3 linked regions of the Macaca fascicularis genome follow. The protein of the gene in region 3 binds, or shares a complex with, the protein of the main gene of each other region. Links are inferred from orthologs where the notes say so. Each region holds a gene or a part of one and is shown on either strand. Other genes may lie near its edges. The genes, in order: CACNG1, CACNA1C and CACNB3.

What was found.
Region 1: CACNB3 (region 3) and CACNG1 share a complex: the UniProt entries of both Homo sapiens proteins name them as parts of the calcium channel complex. The link is inferred for Macaca fascicularis from reciprocal best matches to the Homo sapiens genes CACNB3 and CACNG1.
Region 2: CACNB3 (region 3) and CACNA1C share a complex: the UniProt entries of both Homo sapiens proteins name them as parts of the calcium channel complex. The link is inferred for Macaca fascicularis from reciprocal best matches to the Homo sapiens genes CACNB3 and CACNA1C.

The regions. Positions count from the first base shown.
Region 1 is NC_088390.1:73,486,885-73,491,618, forward strand, and holds the end of CACNG1 (voltage-dependent calcium channel gamma-1 subunit), read left to right. Parts: intron 1-1,288; coding exon 1,289-1,426; intron 1,427-2,232; coding exon 2,233-2,459; 3' UTR 2,460-2,989; downstream 2,990-4,734. UniProt on the Homo sapiens protein: Regulatory subunit of the voltage-gated calcium channel that gives rise to L-type calcium currents in skeletal muscle. Regulates channel inactivation kinetics.
Region 2 is NC_088385.1:2,817,538-2,823,358, forward strand, and holds the start of CACNA1C (voltage-dependent L-type calcium channel subunit alpha-1C), read left to right. Parts: upstream 1-1,897; 5' UTR 1,898-2,182; coding exon 2,183-2,321; intron 2,322-4,211; exon of another isoform or gene 4,212-4,373; intron 4,374-5,821. UniProt on the Homo sapiens protein: Pore-forming, alpha-1C subunit of the voltage-gated calcium channel that gives rise to L-type calcium currents. Mediates influx of calcium ions into the cytoplasm, and thereby triggers calcium release from the sarcoplasm.
Region 3 is NC_088385.1:55,627,254-55,633,074, forward strand, and holds the start of CACNB3 (voltage-dependent L-type calcium channel subunit beta-3), read left to right. Parts: upstream 1-2,011; 5' UTR 2,012-2,418; coding exon of another isoform or gene 2,419-2,463; intron 2,464-3,124; 5' UTR 3,125-3,191; exon of another isoform or gene 3,192-3,315; 5' UTR 3,316-3,379; coding exon 3,380-3,433; intron 3,434-5,821. UniProt on the Homo sapiens protein: Regulatory subunit of the voltage-gated calcium channel that gives rise to L-type calcium currents. Increases CACNA1B peak calcium current and shifts the voltage dependencies of channel activation and inactivation.

The sequences.
Region 1 (4,734 bases), on a different chromosome or scaffold from region 3:
TTACACACAATGACACACAAAATGACACAATGACACACATGACACCACACAATGACACACACACCACACAATGACACACAATGACACACACAAGACACAGTGACACACACAAGACAATGACACACACAATGACACACAAGACACATAGACACACAGAGACACACACACATGTACAATGACACCCACACAATGAGACCCACACAAGACACACAGAAACACATACTGACACAATGACACAAGATACAGAGACACACACTGACATACGTACCATGACATACACACAATGACACACACAAGACACACAGAGACACACTGACACACATGTACAATGACATGCACACGACATGCAGTGACACACAATGACACACACAAGACACAGTGACACACACAAGACTGACACAATGACACACAAGACAGACACACAGAGACACACACACGTACAATGACACCCACACAATGACACCCACACAAGACACACAGAAACACATACTGACACAATGACACAACACAATGACACAAGACACACACAGAGACACACACTGACACATGTACCATGACATACACACAATGACACACACACAAGACACAGAGACACACTGACACACATGTACATTGACATGCACATGACATGCAGTGACACACAATGACACACGAGACACAATGACACAAGACACAGTGACACACAGGCAATGACACAGACACTAACATGCACAGATACATGTACACACCAGCACATGCAGACACACATACACACAGTGACACACCAACACACTGACAGACCCAGATACACATGCACACACTACCATACGCAGACACTAACACATTCTGACAGATCCTCACATATGTGACACATACATGAACACACACACTAACCACACACAGACGCGCACACTGCTACACACACTGGCAGAGCCTCACGTGCACCGGGCTGCGTGACAAGCCACCCTGTGGTCCTTTGCTCCTTAACCCCAGGCAGACCACCTGCCACCCCAGTGCCTCCTGCCCTGTCACTCGAGGAAAGTTTCTGCTCTGGAAAGGCCTCCAGCCACTTGCCTCTCGCCTCTGCCCCCGGTGGGGACCTTGCAGCCTGATGCTCTGGGAAGACATGGGTAGAAGAAGCCCCATGGCAGCCTGGCTCTGCGTGGGCCTTAGGGAAGGACTTGGCCCCTGGGGCTGTCGGCTTTCTCGTGTGTGAGATGGGAATTGTGGTGCATGGGGTGGTCCCTAACCAGCCACCATGAGAGCTCCTGGACTGAGGCCGCATGCCGGGTGTCCCTTGTGTTTGCAGAGTACAGCATCTCGGCAGCCGCCATCGCCATCTTCAGCCTTGGCTTCGTCATCCTGGGCAGCCTCTGTGTCCTCCTGTCCTTCGGGAAGAAGAGGGACTACCTGCTGCGGCCCGCGTCCATGTTCTACGCTTTTGCAGGTAGACTGGGGGCTCCGCCCGAGCACCGGACTGGGGGGACCATGTCGTGGGGGATTCTCCGCTCCACTCTCATGCCCACTGTGGGATTTGGGTGGGGGGCATTTCCCAGGCTCCATCCCCATCCAGGGGCAAACCTGGCCAAGCCCTCAGCGACCCCAGGTGGGCTGGAGGGAGACAGAGCTTGGCGGTCTGTCCATTCCTCCCCATGATTCAACCCTCAAGGCCCCAAAGAAACTGCCCAGAGAATGATTAACAGAAGAAGGAAAGAAACGTGGTCGCCTTTCTTTCTTTTTCTTGGGGGATGAGGAAGAGGGTCTCGCTCTGTCGCCCAGGCTGGAGTGCAGTGGAACGATCACAGCTCACTGCAGCCTCGAACTCCTGAGTTGAAGGGTTCCTCCCGCCTCAGCCTCCTGAGTACCTGGGACTACAGACGTGCACCACCACACCTGGCTAAGTTTTTATTACATTTTAATTTTTTGTAGAGACAGAGGGCTCATCACTATGTTGCCCAGGCTAGTCTCAAACTCCTGGCCTCAAGCGATCCTCCTGCCTCAGCCTCCCAAAGTGCTGGGATTACAGGCATGAGCCACCGTACCCGGCCATGTGGTCGTCCTTCTAAGGGATGCAGGAATAGGGTGGTGCGTGGACAAATGGATCCTTCTGCAGGCTCCCAGCTAGAACCTGCCTTGAGGCAGCTTTTCCCCCAAGGCAAGGTCACTGCCTCCTCCATGCACACAGGCTGGGGTGGGGCTGGGGGTAACGGCAGGCACCCGTCGGTCCCTGAGCGTACCTGGCTCCGCCCCCAGGTCTCTGCATCCTGGTCTCGGTAGAGGTCATGCGGCAGTCGGTGAAGCGCATGATTGACAGTGAGGACACCGTCTGGATCGAGTACTATTACTCCTGGTCCTTCGCCTGCGCCTGTGCTGCCTTCGTCCTCCTCTTCCTCAGTGGTCTCGCCCTCCTGCTGTTCTCCCTGCCTCGAATGCCCCGGAACCCATGGGAGTCCTGCATGGATGCTGAGCCTGAGCACTAGCCCTCCTGTGGCCCTAGCGACCCTCAGGCTTCTTCTCCAGGAAGCCATGTCTCAGCCCGGAACCTTCCAGAGGGGAGGCGGGAGCAATTTTAGCTCCACCCTGCTCCCATCTGCCCCCTGCCACAGTCGCAGGCTGCTTCCTCTCTCTGAGCTCCTCTGGGCTGCCGCAGGCTCCCCTGGGAATAGAGCAAGAGGATGTCAGTCTCAATCTGGCCACAGTTGGGAAAGGCAGGGCCAGCAGGTGGACAGGTGTTTGCAAGGGCCCCACTTCCCCTGGAGCTCAGAGGTGTCCCCACTGTACCAGCCTCTGATAAGCTGCCTCCGGTTGTCCTTTATGAACATTGCAGGGACAACCTGTGTTTGCCAGTTCTTGGTGTTCTGTGTAAATAGCCAGCCCCTCCCTTTCTCAGTGATAAAACACACCCTCTCTGGTGAGCGCAGCGTCCCCTCCTTGGCTTCCAGGAGCCCTGGGAAGCATTTTTAACTGAGTAGAATCTGTCTGTGGCTTGAAATAAAAAGCTCTCAGAAAACTCACGTTTTCTTCACACCTTGCATAGAAATTGCTCAGATTCCTGGTCACATCAGGGGCCCCCTGACGCGGAATGAGAAGGGAAGGCAGGTCACCCGGGTACGTTGAGGACTTTTGTGGGGACAAGAGGGCAACACACGTGGCTTAGAGGCTCTGAATTCCAACTCAGACAGGGTTTCTCTAGGCCCTGAGATTGTTTTCGGGAGAAACTAGAAACCTTCTGATGAAGCAAGGGTGTTAAAAATAGGAGGGGTTATTTCTAGAGCCTGGCATGCAACGCACCTGGTGCCAACGCAGCGCTAAAGCAGCCAGCCAGTGTCTGATTTCTGATGCTGGATTTCTGTTGTGAAGAACATCAGGAAGCAGGGCTTAGCAGTTAGATGCTTAGGGCCACATGAAAAGCCATGATTTGCACACTTCTGCCTTCCAGAGCCCCACAGTACTTGCCCAAGCTTCCGAAGTGGAGTTCAGACATGATTGGCAGATGGGATCTTTGCCTTGCACCCTGGAGAACCCACTGGAGTTCATGCTCCTAGGGCAAGGTTTGGCAAACTGTGGCCTGTTGGCCACACCTGGCCTGCCCCCTCTTGCTGTATGGCCCACAAGTAAAAGGTAGTTTTTACAGTTTTAAATTGTTCAAAACATTAAATTAAAAAAAAAAAAAAAGCCAGGCTCAGTGGCTCACACCTGTAAATCCCAACACTTTGGGAGGCCAAGGTGGGTGGATCACGAGGTCAGGAGTTCAAGACCAGCCTGGCCAAGATGATGAAACCCCATCTCTATTAAAAACACAAAAAATTAGCCAGGCGTGGTGGTGTGCACCTGTAATCCCAGCTACTCAGCAGGCTGAGGCAGGAGAATCGCTTGAACCCGGGGGGGCGGAGGTTGCAGTGAGCCAAGATTACGCCATTGCACTCCAGCCTGGGCAACAGAGTGAGACTCCATCTCAAAACATTAAAAAAAAAAAACCCAAAACAATCAAGGAACTGGGCATCGTGGCTCACACCTATAATCTCAGTACTTTGGAAGGCTGAGGCAAGAGGACTGTTTGAGTCCAGGAGTTTGAGACCACACTGGGCAACATAGCAAGACTCCATCTCTACAAAAAATAAAAATAAAATAATTTAAAGATAAAAAGAAGAAGAATCTCTCATGACATATGAAGATGATACGAAATTCACATCTCAATGTCTGTAAATAAAGTTAGATTAGAACCCAGCCACACCCATTCTGTGGCTGCTTTCGTCACCATTGAGTAGTTTCAACAGAGATCTTCTGTCCTGCAATGCTGAAAATATTTACTATCTGACCCTGTATAAAAACGTGTGTTTACCCTTGTTCTGGAGAAAAACTGTACAAACATCAGCCCACATATCAACCCCTTACTAGTCCCATCTGAAAGCTGAGGGGAAGTTCATTCTTTCAATTTGCCTGCGGTACCTCGGGGGTGGGGGGCTGGGCTAGGAGGGGTGTCAGAGGAGACTCACTCAAAGATGCAAAGATCCAGCCAGGAAATAAACTTGCTCCAGGTAAAGGAGAATCAGAAGATGACAGTCCCGGCCAGCCAGGGAGCTGAGGCCACAATTTATGAGTAAGAAGGAAGAGAGATAACTTCCTCCCATTGATAACCATTCTGGAGGTTGATATTATCGGGTTTTTTCTTTTTTGAGACAGGGTCTCACTCTGGAGTACAGTGCCCAGGCTGGAGTACAGTGGCACAATCACAGCTCACTGTAGCCTCGAGTT
Region 2 (5,821 bases), about 53 Mb from region 3:
GTTCAAATAAGTTGTACACCTTAGTACGTGCCTATCTATATCATTTTTATAGTAAAGGCTGAAACAGCTCCAAAAGACGTTTATAACTAACTAGTTGAGGATCTGATGGCATTAATCATCTAAGTAATACATTAACTACATACACATTTTAAAAATCTTCAGTGAAAATAGCAACAATATTATGATAGGGCAATGAAAACCAACAAAACATGTTTTTAAAAGGGAAAAAAGACTTCAAATTCAAACTTTCCAAACACGTAATTATATTAATAGTATTTTGCTGTTAAAACAGCTGTGATATTCTAACTACATCTTTTTTCTCCTCTTACCTGACCAATGTGTGGGCATGGAATTTCTGCTTCTCGTCAGTAATGATTCAGATATCAAAAGGTACAAGAAAGGTCTGTATAGTGCTATTTTAAGCAGGTATCTTAAAGAGGAACCTATGAATCTGAATTACTAACTTGCCAAAAGGTGGCAATAGGGCTTTAAACTTTGTTTTGCAATTATCGGTGTACCAGAAATCTTTTATCTTATCTTACCTACCTGCATGTGAAGTAGGGGGGAAGTAGGGGAAAAGATTCCAGCTTTTCCTTGAAGAGGACCATTTTACTCTCTTAGGTGAAAATACATACACATTTTCCTCCTTGGTACACTGACTTTTTTTTTTTTTTTTAAAGAACATCTGAGTTCTGAAGCCCATGTGCTATGAGAGGTTTTACATCAAAACAAAATTCTTTTATCTCAAGATCACTGAATGTGTATCTTGAAACTTCATATTCAAGGTTGCTTCCAGTCCATCAACAGTAATTCCCTACTCTGATTCCCTACACAGATTCCCACACTAACCTGCCTACCCTCACGTTCTTGAAGTCAAAGCAGACTGGAACACTGATGTTCAACCACTTAATAAATCTGAATATGTTTGTGTGTCTTGGTGACTTTAACCTTAGTCACAAAACTAGAAGCCTGGTCTATTTTTTTGGTTACAGTGTAAGTTTTCTTTCCTTGAAGACTGACTTTTCCAAAACTATCAAAGGAGAAAGGTGGCAGTAAGGGAGAAAAATAGAGCATAACTCAGAAACACGAGGCCCAACGGCAGAGGAAAAGCCGGCCATTGTTGTCTCATGAGTAGGCTCTAGTAATAGGAATATTTTGGGTATCTTTTGTTTGATGTTATACATTTGTGGCATCTGACATAAGGAATTAGGCTTTTGTAAGGGTGGTATGCCAAGAAAACTGTTGATACAAACAGAAAAACAGTCTGACATTGTCATTACCACGAGATAACTGAAATGCAGACTTAGGGAGGGAAAATGCCATGGAACATCTTTCAGATGTCAAAGCAAAATGAAGGAAAGACTGAGCTTGCAGTAATTATTGAAGACACTGTGAAGACCTTCTTTAGGACCCAATCATTTATCTCCAAAGCAACATGGCTTTAAAAATTAAAATGAGATCATTTTGAGATAACTCTTTTGATCCCAGTTTAGTCTGGACAGAAAATTTAAATAGCCAAGGAGGAAAAAGAAACATTAACCAAGAGTTCTGGCTACCAAAAAGTGGCACCAAGATAAAATGCAGAACTGGGCCTAACTTTCTTCTCCCTAAAATAGTTTTGCAACTTGAGCTGCATTCCCCTGGGAAAGAGGCTGTGAATTCCATTAAAGTTCGCATTCCAACTGAAGTTTCCTGCCTCTTAGCCCTAAGGTCTACCAACCCCTGGACAAACCTATCACTCTTCCACACAAGAGGGTCTATCAAAGCAGTCTGTGGAGATATATAAAAGCCAGAGATCATCATGCCTTAGGGAGGTGATGAGCTGACAGGCTGACAGAAACCATGAAGTTCACATTTCAATCCAAGTTTTCCCGTAAAGCCACTGGGTGAGAGGCCCATCCCTACATAGGCTGGGAGCAGAGCAGGGAAGACAGAAAATACAAGGTTGAAAAGAATCAAGCAAGAAGGTGTTTTGTTTTGTTTTGTTTAGAATTCTAAAATTTAAAAGTAATTTTACTGTAACCTAAACTTGCAGCGATATGATATGGCCATGTAAACTTTTGTGGCACTGAAATGTTACTGCAGGAATGGCTTCTGGGTTTTAAAAAATTACAAGAGATCATGAGCAGGGTAATTATTTAGCTTTAAAAATCAACCAATTAATTACAACTGGAAATTCACAATGCTTCGAGCCTTTGTTCAGCCTGGTACGCCTGCATACCAGCCGCTTCCCAGCCACCTGTCTGCCGACACGGAGGTCAAGTTTAAGGGTACTTTGGTGCACGAAGCTCAACTCAACTATTTCTACATCTCTCCTGGAGGTAAGAAACCCTAAAGCGAAATAAAGAGTAGGAAGAACATGTGGAAATTTACTCTAAATATTCTAATGATACTTAGAATGTGACTGCCTCACTCTAAGAACTCATCTCTCCATATTTAATCAGGATTTACCACACACCGTTGTGAAATTTTGCCTATAACTGCACCATCCTGGTTTATGCCGTTCTTTGGAAATTCTCAATTGAAAAAAAGTGATGTTTGAGGCAACAGGAAATGCAATACTGCCTTTACATAATAAAACACCAATCTTTTACTTTCCTTTTAACTCTGTCAGAAAGATCAAGGAGATCAAAATTTCCGTATTAGACTTCATGTCTGGATTTTGTAGGTCCACAAAGACAAGGCAGAGAGCAAGCTGATTATATTCAATAGTGGTGTTTTCTTTTTTAAATTTCTTCAGTGGAAAAATAAAAAGCTGGTCAAATTTTAAGAGGCTAGTTAAGAGGCCATTAAAGGTGGTATCAATGTCACTCAAATGCACATTTTCATTTGTAACCCTTTGATTCTTATTAGCATGGTGCATTAGTTCATTTTACATGTTCTTTGGGGATTTGCCTCATCTTGTTTATGTTCCTAATACTTCTGTTCGATCTGTTCTTTTAAGATATTTATAATTTGTTTTATATTTTACCCGGATACCATACAACTCCAAATCATGAATGATAGCTTATAATTGTCTAATGAGGACATGTGATAATGTTTGTGTAAATTTTTAAAAGAAGATATATATCCATTCAATTAGGAAGTGGATGATAAACACATAATTACACGGGTAAAATTTAAATAGGCAGGACATCTGATTTGGTAATGTTCTTTCTAATATAATTTCACTAATTCCTCTCAAAAGGATAGGGAAATATGTTTTTCTTAGTATCCAGCAAGGAAAGCATTTAAGTTCCTTCTTTTTACTTGGAAAGCCATGGAAACAAGGGAGTGTTAAATTACACAAACCTCTTCTGGGCATCTAAGGATAAACCAAAAATTTAAAAATTCCTTCAAACTCCATTCCTTTCATGAAGTCTTTCTCAAAAGAGTAGAATAGTATTTTCAATGTAAGGATGGAGAACATCTAATCATATATTTGTGTAAACACTTGTTTCTGAGATTTCATTCAAATATAGTATTTCTTGATTTACTGTACCATTTATCTAGATCAAGCTTTAATAAATTTGGCCATCCTGATGATGACTACTTACTAGCATATGGTAGTACACATGCACACACAGTTACTAGGCATTTGAAAGACCTCAAGATATTTTTAAAAAAAACAGAAAAATAGAACCATGAAATTTTAGAGCCAGAAGTCAGGTAAGAAGCATGCAGTTCAATAACCTATTTCCCTAATGAGGAATCTGTGGTCTAACAAGGCTAAACAAGCTAGCCAAAGTCATTTTTCTTGGTTTAATCTGTTTCCCCTAAAATATGCCCTTCTCCTAGCCTTTCAAATGAAATAGATGAAGCATTCAAATTTGTTTTTACATATTGGATTGAGTTCTAGGCTTGGTTATAAAAGACTGGAATTAGTCTTTTTAAACCAAAGTTCATGTGGACTCTCTAAAGGAAAAAAAGAAGGATGGAATGAAGGGGGGGCGGAGATCAGTGAGGAAGGGAGGGACGGAGGGGGAGAAAAAGAGAGAAAAGAAAGAAGAAGGGAATTAAGCTTTCTGGTAGTGGCAATGTTTTCACAGCAGTAAACACTCGAGCAGCAGTGACGCTGCCTGCGTGCTGGCATCCATAGATGGGAAACACAGGCTGTGTTTGGCCGGCTCTATGCGGATTCTGTACTTCTTCCCCATTTGGAATGTTTGCACTCAAAATGCTTTCCTCCAGCATGTTCTCTAATGCCTTTAAAGTAATGTTCTTCCATTCACCTTCCGCCTTAGCTTTACTGACCAAACACGGACACAATCTTGTAAAATAAAATCTTCACTGGCCACTGAGAGTCTACGTAGCACTGTTATCTTTGGCCCTTGGTCTGCTTCTCTTCATATGACATGGTTTTACTGCACCTCACAAATCAGTGATCCCATGACCTGGGAAGAATGAAAGGTTCAAAGCAGATGAGAAGCAGTTTCTATTTTACGGGTGACTAATACTCATGAACATTTTGGGGGAAACAGTAGTAACAACCTTCCCCTTTCTAAATAAATTAACGTTATTAGAAAGTTAATGCCATTAAAAACAAACAAAACTATCTTAATTAAAGCTTTATACTAATTTGGATTAAATTAATATGTACTCTCCAACTATAAATGAGAATTTATTACTTTCCCAGTAAAAGATGGATTTAATCTTTTAGAAAGTTTTAATTCATAATGGATTCATGTTATATCATTCAATCTTCCTAATCTTCACAGAGGTCATTATCTTCCTAAACTGGGAAACTTGAGGTCATCTACTACCCTCAGGTTTACCAGAGGTCATATGGGATCTTTTTCATCATATACTAATTTCCTAGTTTTATTTGTTCCTTTAATCTAAGAGATATAACAGAGTAAATAAACTTTTAAAAGTTAGGAAGCTGAAAAGTCCACAGTTGGTAACAAATATAAATAGAAACAACTTATTCTGCTTTATTGGCCACTTAAATTTATATTTTCATTTGTTCATAATCTTGCTGATAAATTTCAAAATCTCCTTGGCCACAAATATCATGCAGGGAGTCCCTAATACATCTTTTCCTTCTCTCTACTCATCCTTGAAGACTCAGGCTTTCTCACTCCTCTAGGGATAAACAGTCCCAACTTTTTCTTTGCTCCTGTAGTTTTTTTTGTACATCCTTGTACTAAAAAAGGTAATAAATTAAGCATTTATAAATCTGTTCCCTCCACTAGACTATAAGCTACTGGAGGGGAGGACTTTGTTAATACACCCAGTACAGCAACCAGCATGTGCAGACATTCAACAAATACGTGCCAAGTTGAACTGAAGTCTAAGACTTCAAGCTCTTCTACCATCAATAATCCTTATAATTGTTGATATCAATAATTATCACTTCCTGGAATAATTAAACGTGGATCAGATATGCTAGAATTCTCTATCAATTGATTACACCTTCTACTAGAGATTTCAGCATGGACAGTCTCCTCACATCACCCCTTTTGTTCTCCTTCAACCTTCACTGAGAGTTTATTTTGCTTCAAATGCTTTACCTTCTTATGCTTAAGTAATGTTGATGGGATTCTGTCATTAGGCTATGAGCTCCCAAAGACTATATATTTCGATTGATTCAGCACTATGTAGGCACTAATGTACTCATTTAATGTGTATTTATTATTACAACCCTACCATATACCATTTTTCCTGATTGACTACTTGTTAGGCACTAGCAACTAAGAGCTCAAAGAATGCAACAATTCTGCAAAAGCACATGCATTTCTCTTCATTATGGAAAAACAAAGGACAAATAATAATAGTACTTTGGTCTACCAGAAAATCTAAGATATTCATATTCCAGTCGTGTTTGATAATGGTAATCTCA
Region 3 (5,821 bases):
GAAAGGAAAGGGGCATTGGGTAGCAACCCAGAGATATGAGGAGAAGGAGGGAAGTTCTGAAGCTCCTGCAGGACCCAGGGGAAGGGCCAGGTATGAGGAACTTGAATCCATCTCCTGGGGATGGTTGGCATGGCAACACATGCCTCAGGAGCAGACTTAGACAACCTTGTCGCAGATTACAAGGAGTGTGAGGAAGGAGTGCTGCCCATGGCAGATCCGCTGTTACCTACAGCCCCAGGACCTTCTGTGGGTGGGAGAGTCCCAAAAGGAGAGGCCAAGAGAGTGGATGCAGGGATGGGAAGAGAAGCAGCTGCCTCCACCACTGCTTTCTTCATTAGAACCATCTCCCAGGAGAAAAGCACCTTGAGGGTCTTACTCTCCGACACCTCTCTCGGCCCCTGAAAGACAGAAGGAATTGAAAAGGATGAAAGAGGGGGATACAAGGAATACTGAGTAACTGGGTGAGGGCACAAAAGTGGGCAGTGTCGGAACTTCCAATACGAATCCAGTATATGACCAAACCCCAATTGGTGCTGGACTCAGGAGAGGCAACTGTGAAAGCTGACTGCCTCCCCCAATAGCGACGTCCCTTCAGCCACAGGGGCTGTAACAAAGTTGTTTGTCAAACCCAGCATGAGGAAGGTGCTGGGCAGGGCTGCTCTGGGCCACCCACAGTAGACAGACTAAAGATGTCAGTCTGAAGATGAAGCCTCTTCTTTTTCTTGCTAAGATAACACCGATAAGTGACCCAGGTGGGAAGCCACTTGGTTTGGGTGGGCTTTCTCTCTCCCATGCACAGTGCCTTCTACCACAGATCTTATTAAGCTATGTCAGAGTTTTGGATGTCTGATTCTCCTCAAGCCTAGGAGGGATGAGCAGATTGCTGAACTCCCGGGTGTGAGAAATTGGGAAAGGAAAAGGACTGAGCTCAGGGCCAAGGGCATGGGCACCAGGAGGCCTCCAAGTGTACCCCTGTCTATGGACGTCCTCCTTGTGGGGCACAAAGGTAGGCAGTCAAAAATCAAAGAAGGAATTTTGCTCAGGAGATGAAAAAAGGAGAGAGCTCAAATGGGTGGATCTTTGGGGAAAGTTTCCTCAATATAAGGGCTGCGGCTCTCTTACCTCAAATCTCAGTGTTCCTGTGAAGGAGACTGAGTGGTGCAGAGTGGTACAAGCCCTTCTGCTGAGGGGAGAATCTGGCCTTACCCTAGTGACTCTGAGGAGACTGGCCCTTTCCTCTCCTAACCCCAGTGTAGCCAGGATCCCACCCACAACTATCCCCTACCACCACCCTCTGGTTTCTCTCCCCTCCCTTTAGGCTCACCTAAAATAGCCCCTTTCTGACCCAGTTCCCACGGATGCCTTGGCACTGTCTGGCACGATCCTTGGCAGGGAAGTGGGGAACGGAACCCCCATCCTGGCCGGACTAAGACGAAATCTATCTGTGCAACAGGTGTGGGGAGGCCTATCCAGCTCACGGAAAGTTCCTCCCTTCTCAAGGGCTAGGCAACACCGCCTTTGCCGCAGCGTTCCCGTACTGAGGGGGCCGGGCACCTGTTGGGGCAGGAGTTGCCGTCCTGGCATTAGCCTGGGGGCACTAAGCCCATTCCTCCCCGGGACTACTGCGGGGTCTGCTTCGGAGCCTCCGGGACGCACGGGCCCAGACCCGCACTGCTGTCGCCTGGGACCCCTCCCCCGTCTGCCGCTTGTTCCCGCGCCTCTTCTGTCTCCCAGGGTCTCCCCATTTTCCTGTCCTCTCCGTCCTCCCTCTGCCTCTCTCTCTCCGGCTTCCTCGACACCTGCGCCCTCTCCAGTCTCCGCCCGGGTCGCGTCTTCCTCGCGGTCTCAGCGCCCCCTCCCTCCCCCGCCGCAGCCCTTTGTTTCCCGGCGGAGTAGTTCCTGGGTTGCCGAGCGTCTCTGTCTCCGCATCTCTCCTCGCCCCGCCTCCTCCCTGCCTGGATCCGCCCCGCCCGCAGCCTCTCCTCCCCTTCCTCCCAGCCGCCAAGGCCCCGTAGGTGCTCCGGGACCCACCTTCCACCCAGCACGGGTCCGTTCCCCTCTCCGGGCCTGGCCCGGGCTCCCCGGTGGCCGCCGCCCCCTCGCCGCCCCCGCCTTCTCCCAGGGAGGGGGTCAGGTGGGCGGGCACTATTGTTGTAGGAGCGGGCGCCAGATTCCTCAGCCGCGCTCGGGGTGGGACCGGCTGGGTTTGGGGGGGTGGGGTGGGGGGAGCGGTGATTTGAGCTCCGAGCAGCTGGTCTTCGCGGCTCGCTCCCTCCTTCGCGCTCTCTCGCTCCCCGCCGCCGCCCGCAGGGCTGCGGGGCTCCGTGGCATCTCCCGGGCGCGGCCCGCAGTCCTCGCCCCTGCCTCCGGGCCGCTCCCGCCCCCGGCGCCGCTCGCTTCCCCCACCCGGACTCCCCCATGTATGACGACTCCTACGTGCCCGGGTTTGAGGACTCGGAGGCGGTGAGTGCCCACGGTGAGGGTGGGGGCGGGGAAGTTGGGGTGACACCTCCTCTCCCTTCAACCCTTCCCCCAGTTCAGGACTTTGAAAAACGCCTCAGTGGCAGGGCAGTGTGTGTAGGGGGGCGCTCTAAAAACGTGGGGAGATGGATTTTCATGCCAAGCGCTCCCCAGCGACCCAGACTCAGACCCTGGGGCATCGGGTGTGTGCAGAGAGGGGGCAGTATAGGGGAAGGGCTCAAGCAGGTGGCTCCACGGCCCAGGAAAGAGGGGTGGGAGGAGGCAGGGCTGGAGGCCGAGGGCACAGAGGCTCTGGAGAGGGAACACGCCATGTCTGGAGTTCCAAATTCTGGATTTCTGGGGTCTGAACACAACAGCTAGGAGAGCCGCCGAGGTAGTTGGGGAGGCAGACATTCCGGACCTCTTGTGCCTCAAGCAAACAACACATTAGGGAGCTGAGAGGACACCAGGGAGCCAGGGACCAGCCTCTTTAGACAGAGGGATCCTAAAACTTGAGGAGCTCCATTATTCCCTTCTACCCCCTCCATCTCTGCGCACTGCCTCATCTCCTCACCCTTTCTCTAGCCCAGTTTCCCTCTCAGGCTGAAACCTGGGCACCCAGCACATGGGTAGGCCAGGTGACTGAGCCCCATCCATTCCACAGCCCCCTGCTGAGGCTTCCTCTGAGCAGCGGGCATCCTGAGCTCTTGCCCAGCATGGAGGGCCTGGAGGTGAGGCCAGAGGAGCTGAGGGCCTGGGGATGGAGAGGATGCGCTTTGCTCAGAGAAACAGGCAACCAATAAATATTTAATTCTCCTCTTTGCTTTTATCTCCTGACCCACTGAGACAAATCAGCTCATTAAGCAGTGATTCCCGGAGCTCAGACAGCAGGGAGAGTGCCTGGAAAGATGGGGCAAGAATGCGGAGCAGCTTCTCAGACCCTTGGAGCTGCCAACTTTCCCTCAAATGTCCTGTAAGAAGGCCTCCTTAGGAGTGGACCAATAGATGGCTTGGAAGGGGTCCCGATAGGATGGAGCACCCCTGGGTCGGAAAGAGGAGTATGTTCCAGTCTTCTCCCATCACTTGCTGCCAGGCCCAGGATAGATGAGTGCTGATGCTCAGAATAGGCAACTGTCCTTTTCTGGGACTGGGCTCCTTCTGGGCCCAATTTTCCATGGGGCCTCTGGGGTAATTACATTGCTGCTAGAGCAGATCATTTTCAAGGCTCTGGTGGACACCTCTTTCTGACAGTTGAAGGGACAGCTGGTATAGCCCAGGGTGCCAAGGTGAGCTTGAGAACAAACCTCTCTGTGGGGCTGGAGGGCCCTAGGAGGTTCTTCCCATCCCTGGTGAGAAGGCAAGGGCTATTGCAAGGAACAGACTGACATGTGGATGGTGTTGGAGGACAGCCTGCTGACCCATTGCTCCCTCCCATCGCTCTCTGGCTCCTGATCACCCTCCCCCACCTCCCTTTCTCTTGCCTGGCTCCTTGCTCTCCCTGAGGCCCCCTCTGAAGCAGTAGGAGGGAGATCAGGCTCTAAATAAATCCAACGGCTCATCTCCCTCCTCTCCTTCCCCCGTGCCAGGCAAGAGAGGAGCTGCAGCCTGCCCACACACTCACTAGGCAAGGGGGGCACCACCAGGGCACTGTGCCAACTCCTGGCAGCTCCAAAGTACTGACACTCTGGCTCTTTTGGCATAGCAGGGTACAGGAAAGGTAAGACCCTAGATCATGCCTGGCAGGGCAGCCCTGGCCTCCCGAAGTAATACCGGAGCACGAGAGATAAGTTAGCCTGGAGGACTTGGAAGTAATGGAGAGGGGCTTCCATTCTGAGCACAACTCATTAATTATTTAGGGAGAGACGGCCGGGCGCGGTGGCTCAAGCCTGTAATCCCAGCACTTTGGGAGGCCGAGGCGGGCGGATCACAAGGTCAGGAGATCGAGACCACAGTGAAACCCCGTCTCTACTAAAAATACAAAAAATTAGCCGGGCGCGGTGGCGGGCGCCTGTAGTCCCAGCTACTCAGGAGGCTGAGGCAGGAGAATGGCGGGAACCCGGGAGGCGGAGCTTGCAGTGAGCCGAGATCGCGCCACTGCACTCCAGCCTGGGCAACAGCGTGAGACTCCGTCTCAAAAAAAAAAAAAAAAAATTATTTAGGGAGAGATCCTGTGATTCCCATCCCAGGGTGAGAGGTCAGGTAACCCCAGATGCCCCAGGCGTTATTACTACTAAATTAGGCCGCAAGGTGGCTCAGGCCTGTAATCCCAGCGCTTTGGGTGGCCAAGCCGGGCGGATCACTTGAGGTCAGGAGTTGGAAACCAGCCTGGCCAATATGGTGAAAGCCCGTGTCTCCTAAAAATACAGAAATTAGCCTAGCATGGTGGCGCATGCCTGTAGTCCCAACCACTCAGGAGGCTGGGGCAGGAGAAATGCTTGAATCCTGGAGGCAGAGGTTGCAGTGAGCCAACATCACGCCATTACACTCCAGCCTGGGCATCACAGTAAGACTCCGTCTCAAAAAAAAAAATTACTAAATTAAACCAGGCACAGAGACTCATGCCTATAATCTCAGTGCTTTGCGAGGCTAAGGTAGGAAGATGGCTTAAGCCCAGGAGTTTGAGACCAGCCTAGGCAAAATAGCAAGATCCTGTCTCTACAAAAAACTAGTAGGCATGGTAGTGCACGCCTGTAGTCCTAGCTACTCAGGAGTCAAGAGGATCGCTCGAGCCCAGGAGTTCAAGGCTGCAGTGAGCCACGATTGTGCCACTGCACTCCAGCCTGGGCGACAGAGCAAGACCTGTCTCTAAGTAAATAAATAAAATAATAAAAATAAAGATTACTAAATTGGGCTGAGAGTCTGGAGCGCAGGCAGAAAAGGTCAGACTCCTCTTTTAGCATGGTGCTGAGCTTCTGGGAGGTACCCGATGTATCTGTACCAAAGTGAGTGGTCATCTGTCTTGCCTTCTGCCTCCCAGCCTATTGGCCCCTGTCTGGTCGCTTCAGATACTAACATCCCACAGAGGTTTCTCTTGTGTCTTAAGACCCCTAGGAAGGAAGTCCCTCACCCTGTGCCAAGATTATTTCTGGGGTTCAACCCCCACTTTTCCTGCTGCCATCCAGCCTCATTTTGTTCTCAAGAGAGATGAGGAACAGCGGGCAGACTCTACTCTTCTGTAAAACGAAAGAACCTTCCCCCTTGTGCTATCTTCAGGCCTTTGGTGTACTATAGACACTGTCTTTAGCCTAAGACTCGAGAGCCTGGGCTGACCCCCAGCTGAACAGCCCTCTTGCTCAAGGCAGGGTGGGGGTAGAGGGCACAGCGGACAGCAGGTGTGTGATTTTGCCTTCTCCTCTGAGAG